2 linked regions of the Cricetulus griseus genome follow. The protein of the gene in region 1 interacts with the protein of each later gene in a biochemical or structural test. Links are inferred from orthologs where the notes say so. Each region holds a gene or a part of one and is shown in the gene's direction. Other genes may lie near its edges.

Region 1 (3,657 bases):
CTCTTGTAGACCAGGCTGGTCTCGAACTCTCAGAGATCCGGCCTACCTCTGCCTCCCAAGTGCCGGGATTAAAGGTGTGCGCCACCACCGCCTGTCCCTAATTCACTTTCTATCCTAACTTGTATTATCAACCCCAAACTATCTTTTTAGACCTCCAAACATTTTCTAGGTAAATAATTTAAGCTTTTATGTCTCTCAATCTTACACCCTTTTTACCTCTTTTGTGAGTTTCTTTTCTGAATTTGGTAACAAGGAAAACTGTAACTATAACCATTTCATCTTCAGCTCCGTCAGAGACGGAAGAAGGATATAATGTTACCTGAGTAAACAGGAATTGCAGGGCAAACAACTTCCAAAATTATAGACATGACAGAAGCAGCTGGCTGCCTGGACAGTCACTGAAATTCCTCTTCAATGTTGTGGCATCCATCTTTAGTCTACAGGCCTAGAATATCTGACAGACTTTTCTGTGAAGCAGGATTTTTGAAGGACAGTCCTACCTTGTCTTGGCAGAGTTCAGCAGTTGTGCTGAAAAAGTTCAAAGTTCTTTTGTGTCCTGCTCATCCAGTTTAGACAGCAAACCATCAGCATTCGATGCAAGGGCAGTTTCTTGCCCAGTAACTAGCTTTGCCACAACAAAAGCAAACTCCATTTGGAGGTTCTTTGAGTCCCATTATCCGTTTTTGAAGTAAATTGATGCTGTCATGAGCAGATGTGCCTCACTGTCGTGAAAAGCCTCACGATATTAAGACATCTTAAATGCTATATTCTATAGGTCTCTGAAGTGTTTGAAGACCACCTATCTAAATTATATCTATGTTTAACCTTAAAACATAACTACAAATTTATTATAGATGACTAACTACTGTATTTCTTAATTATGCATTACATTTTTAAATGAGGTACATAAGTAAAACACCTTAAACAAGAGCAGAAACATATACATTATAACAAAAATAACCTTAAATTTGTATCAGTATACAAAAATCTTTATCAGTGTGAAATATTTGAGATTAATAGCTGCTTTTTAGTTTAAAGTAAATTCAATAATCTAAGCTTTTATACTATTCCTTCTATCTATCTAAATGACGAAATTTTCTGTTACTTTTGTCTTATAACTGCTGTTTTCCTATATAATTTTAATCACAGCCAAGAGCATACAACTTTATAGTTGGTAGCCCTCACCTATAGTCCCAGCACTTAGGAAGGGTGAGATGGGCAGATAAGATGAAGGTCAAGCCTGGCCTACAAGGACTGTACTTGATTTGTTTACCATTATGTAATCAGTGTCACTAAGGTCAGTGTTTAGCACTTAGCAGAAGTTCTGTAATTCCATGAAATGAAAGGACATGCCAAAACATGTCTGCTTTCCAAAATACCATAGGCTGTGGGGAGCCATGTCCAGGTGGTGTTTCTGTTTGCTTTCATCTAGTCAGTCAAACTGAAAGATACCTCAGCTTACACACTCCCAGAGACTACTGAGAGAACATTGGGCCTACATATAGGTGTCTGTCTGTCTTTGGAAAATCCTAACTCTTATTGTACCTATTGCTTTTCTGGTGGCATAATATAGACTTAGAGGGTGTATCTTACTTTATCTACTTGCATATATAATATAAGTTCCATAGTATTCACACACACACACACACACACACACACACACACACACACACACACACACACATATATATATATATATTATATATATATATATATATATCTGAAATTATATGTCACAAACAGCACAGAATCTAGCATATAATAGTTGATGAAATGCTGGCCATGCTTTGAAAGCTGCAGCATTATTTATGATGATAAAGTGAAATTCCTGCTTCACTTTGTGAATACAAAGTTAACTGAAGTTCCAGAAAAGACCATATAAAAATTCAAGAATGGATACAATGGAAGGCCAACATGTGACCGATGGTTTATTAAATACTATCTGTCTTAGTTCTTTTTAAATTGCATATAATTCTCTTCCTGTATCTGAAAAGATTGTTTTCCCAGAATCTCCACATTTCTGGAAGATGGGAAATAACAGTAATGGAGAACAGGGAGCAGAAAGGAGAAAGTAAGCATGGTTGTTTTTCAGTTTGTGGGAAACTTTCTAACTTGGAAAGCAAAAATCCATGATGTACAAGTGTACATTTGCAGGTGGATTCTGAAGAGCCAGTCTTTGAGGCTGTTATCAACTGGGTGAAACATTCCAAGAAGGAGCGAGAAGAATCCTTGCCTGACCTCTTACAGTATGTTCGGATGCCCCTGCTGACCCCCAGGTACATTACAGATGTGATAGATGCTGAGGTAAGTATGTAAGGCTATGGGTATCCAGAACCTTCATTAACTCCACAGCTTAGTTTGTATAATTGAAAACCAATATTTTTAACATAGGGTCACCTGGTTCCCTTCAGCAGGAATGCTGGAGAGATAAAGCTGGGAACTTCTTAGGTATAAGAAAAGGTAATTGCAGGCTGGGAACATGGCTCAGCAGTTAAGAGCACTGGCTGCTCTTCAGAGGACCTGGGTTCAATTTCTAGCACCCACATGGCAGCTTATAACTGTCTGTAACTCCAGTTTCAGGGAATCTGACACCCTCACACAGACCTGTATGTAAACAAAATACAAATGTACATGAAAAAAAGAAATGTTAATTGCTTAGCATGTCAGGCTTCTGTCACAAATGTAAATCCACAATTTAATTTTGTGTGTAGGGGGCAGTGTAAACCACACCTGCTAGAAGCTGGCTACAGGTGTGCCTGACCACGCCTGTTAGGGCGTGGTCAAGGTGAGGTCAGGAGACGAGTGATAGGGTTTTACGGGGCTGCAAGGCACATGGGAGCCCCTTCTCTCTGGCCTCCCTGCCTTGTTGCCCCTGGCCTTGGGCGCCAAATACTAAGAAATAAAAGGATCCTGGGATAAGGATATCTTTTATTAGAAAAACACCAGCCAAACGCAAGCCAGAGCATGCCAGTACATTCAATACTTCAGCAACTTGTTACAGATTAACAGAGTGTAAGCAACCAAGGTATTTTTGCTCAGCCAGTTCTTTTATTGGCAGGCTGCATTTTGTGGTTACAAAGAAAGGATTGAGCCAGGCGTTGGTGGTGCATACCTTTAATCACAGCACTCGGGAGGCAGAGGCAGGCAGATCTCTGTGAGTTCGAGGCCAGCCTGGTCTCCAGAGGGCGTGCCAGGATAGGCTCCAAAGAGACACAGAGAAACCCTGTCTCGAAAAACCAAAAAAAACCAAAAAACAAAAAAACAAAGAAAGGATCGATCATTTTATTACTTATCTCAAAAGGTAATTTTATGAGGAATCTTAAAAGAATCAGAAATCGGGCTGGAGAGATAGCTTAGAGGTTAAGAACCTCTTCCATCCTTAGTTCAATTCCCAGCAACCACATGGGGGCTCACAACCATCTATAATGAGATCTGGTGCCCTCTTCTGGGATGCAGGCTGAACACTGTGTACATAATAAATAAATAAATAAATAAATAGATAAATAAATAAATAAATCCTAAAAAAAAAGAATCAAAAATCTAAACTTTTATAAATGAAAAAGAATTAGTCAGCTCTATTGTAAAATCTTAGAGTGTATCCATCCCCACTCATCAACAGACTTATATATCAGGAAGCTAAGGGCAGAAATGGATACA
Region 2 (3,437 bases), on another chromosome or scaffold:
GAATATTAAGTTTATTATGAAATAAAGGGAAATGCTTAAAGCTAGATTTTCGCCTTTGACTTGAAGATTAGATGACTCAAAGCTTTCGCTGCTTCTGTCACTCCCTTCCCCACCTTATTCTTTAATATTTAAAGAGTTTAAGAAAGTTAATAAACTTTTTGTTATTAAGAGATTTAAATTAAAACTAAAAAATAATTAGAATTCAAAGGGAGTAAATTTTCATGTAGGGACAAACTTTCGTGTATAGACAGAAGGCAAAAGACCTCTTCTTTGTTCTAGCACACTAAAGTATGTAGCATATTCTAATTCCTAAATTTAAATAGTGAGGGCTTGGATAGGGATAAAGAAAGACAAGACATACAGTTGGAAAGGTGGATTTTGACTTCTCTCATCCTTGAATAATAAAGATGTATATAAGGTCTGGAGAATCCTGTCTACATATACATACATGTACATATATGCATATACACAAAAGCATACATTTATACATTGCTTACAGTTTTGCTTAGGTGTAAGGAAACAATTTTCTGTTCAGTAACAGGGGAGAGTATACATTTTGTTTTGTTTTGTTTTCTTGAGTCTTATTGTCTTCTATTGCTGTGATAAAACACTTAAAACAATTTCATGGAAGAAATGGTTTATTCACCTTATAACTCCCAACTCCCTGGTCACAGTCCATCACTGAGGTATGTTGGGTCAGGAACTCAAGAGTCTCCAGGCAGGAACTGAAGTGTGTACTGCAGAGGGGTGTTGCTTACTGGCTTGTTCCCCATGACTTGCTCAACTTGCTTTTTAAAAATTTAACTCAAGGTCACCTGCCCAAGGGTAGTACTGTCCACAGTGGGCTGGTGGGTCCCTCACATATCAATCATTAATCAAGAAATGCCCCAATCCCACAGGCCAGTCTGATGGAGGTGGTTCTTCAGTTCAGTTCCCTCTTTCCAGATGACTTGTTTGTGTCAAGTTGTCAAAAAAAAAAAAAAAAATTCAATGCACTATAAATTCTCATCCTGTTGGAGCCAGGGCTCAATTTTGAACATTGAGCTTGCAGATGTATCTTTAGAAGCTTAATGTATATGAAATTATAAAAGTATGGGTTTATTTCCTCCAATTAGTCAGTTATACTAATACCTAAGTGATATGCTAGAGAGTTAAGAACTTATTGTAGAAGATTTAAAAGGTAATAGACAATTCTACTGTTTCTTAGTACGTGTGTCTGTTTATCTTTGATTTTGCCTTATTTAGCAGTCTTGACATATGGATATTCCTGAAGTCTGATGTCTTTCTCTTTACAGAATCTTTAGAAGGACAAGATGTTCTTGATAATAGTACAGAGCAGAGAGATGACAAAATACCAGTGACAGAGCAGACAAGCCAAGTGATTGAAGAAACATCTGGTTCAGAGGAACCAGAGGAGAAACAAGAAGAGACTGAGAAAGAGGAAGCATCAACAGACGAAGCCAAGTCAACAGTTCTCAGAGCTGACTCTGTTTCTAATCTTGAACCAAGTGGAGAATCTTTGGTGACACAATAGTAAATAATCCCATGTGCCTTCAACTGGATTATTTGTAGTCTTGTTGATGTCAGTTATTGCTTTTTTTTTTGTGTGTGGTACTCAAAAAAATTACTTTTTAGATATATGCTTAATGCTATTCAAATTCAAATTGCCTAGCAAGTTCAGTGTGTTCAAGTCCCATCAACTGGGCATTGAAAGTAAAAGCACGTGGTATCAGTGAATGTGCAGAGACCCACATAGCTGTTAGAGACTTTGTGCATTCTAAAGTTTAAAGAAAAGAAACATTTTTGTTTTCTACATCTATAACTTGTAAATAATATCCATTTTGACATAGGAACAATTTTGGCTAGGAATAATTTCTTTAATAGTGCTTAAGGATTGAAATATAATTAAGATTTTGAATACTTCATCATTAAATTTTAACTCCTGAGATATTTGCCAGTGGGAAGGAAATATCTATTTAGGTGTTTACATTAAGTGATACTGAAAGCTGTAACCTTATTTACATAGGCATTGGTACGAATTCTCAAGAAGAATGCAACTGAACAGTCAAGTGCAGAGTTTCTTTTGATGTCTTTTGTTTTGCAGCTGGGCCAAAGCCACGTGATGTATATAGTTAGTTTATGTTTACATATTAACAAATAGGAACTGCATCTGCATTTGACTGTACTTGAATTCTTGGTATTATTTATATTTGTAAAATAATGATGATATATAAATGAATTTTTTGTGTGCTTGTTTTGTTAAGGAAAATAAAGATGACCTGGCAGTGTTTTTTCTTTGTTAAATATCTAGACTTTCTTCACATAGTGTTTTGATGGATGACTAGCTATCTGAAAAAAAATCTTGTTAGGAGAGTCCTCTGTATGATAAATACATAGTAAATTATGATGTTTTTGTTTTTTATTAGACTTTCAAATTCAGAGAAATAAGAAATTTAATGTTTTTAATCAGAAGTTAGCATTTTTGGATTTTGAAACACATTATGCCACTTGTAGTTTTTAACTTTGAGAGACAAATACGTTTTTGGAGTAGGCAGTTAACTGCTAATAAAACTCACTGGATTGAGTATGTATCCCAAGGATCAGGTGGGAAGATTTTTGGTATAGACTAGTTATTCTTAAATATAATATCATAATTTGTTCTAGCTTTCTTTTATGTGTCTTTTCCAATATTGAAACAACTAGAAATGAAGTTATTATGCTATAAGGGAGACATGTTAGCATAATGTATCTGGCTAATCTTTTGGTTGTAAATATTCATTTAAATTAAATATTCTTTTTATAATTTGAAAGTTTATGTTTATGGTTTAATATCTCATGTGACATATATTGAAGAACCCAGTTTGTTAATAGTTTAAGGCATTTTAGTTTAGTGCCCATAAATTCAAGCATGTGGAACTAGACTTGAATGTCAGCTTTGTAATCTTGGGCATTTCACCTAACCTCTCTGCATACCTATAAAATGGGGAGAATAATATCTGTTTTCCATAGGTACTTGAATGATTAAAAATAATTTATATGATGTGCCTAGCTTTCTTGCTGGATAATTAGTAGATACTAGGTTACATGGTAGGATTTATTATTATATTAATTATTATTATTGAAACCCTTGTGAAATATGGAAGGCCCATAGATTCTGTCTATGGCAGATAATGAAATTTAAAAACCATGATCATTCAGTTCAGTTGCTCTGAACAGAAACAGTTTTCTGTATTAATGTCATATACATGTCTTTAAGTGATAGATAAAAGAAATGGAGAACTGAAACTATGGAATATAATCCTTTTATAAAAGGTGTTTATTTTTATGAATATGAATTTTTCACTTGAATATGTATGTATACCACATGTGTGCCAGGTGCCTGCAGAGGCCAGAAGAGGGTACTGGATCCCGTGAAATGATAGTTACAGATGGTTGTG

Evidence for each region. The genes of interacting proteins can lie anywhere in the genome.
Region 2: the proteins of Klhl12 (region 1) and Lnpk form a complex in vitro, tested with the Homo sapiens proteins (2 studies listed by BioGRID, with this or other methods). The link is inferred for Cricetulus griseus from reciprocal best matches to the Homo sapiens genes KLHL12 and LNPK.

Annotation. Positions count from the first base shown.
Region 1 is NC_048598.1:54,767,104-54,770,760, reverse strand, and holds part of Klhl12 (kelch-like protein 12), read left to right. Parts: intron 1-2,154; coding exon 2,155-2,304; intron 2,305-3,657. UniProt on the Homo sapiens protein: Substrate-specific adapter of a BCR (BTB-CUL3-RBX1) E3 ubiquitin ligase complex that acts as a negative regulator of Wnt signaling pathway and ER-Golgi transport.
Region 2 is NC_048599.1:100,589,228-100,592,664, forward strand, and holds the end of Lnpk (endoplasmic reticulum junction formation protein lunapark), read left to right. Parts: intron 1-1,295; coding exon 1,296-1,534; 3' UTR 1,535-2,810; downstream 2,811-3,437. UniProt on the Homo sapiens protein: Endoplasmic reticulum (ER)-shaping membrane protein that plays a role in determining ER morphology. Involved in the stabilization of nascent three-way ER tubular junctions within the ER network.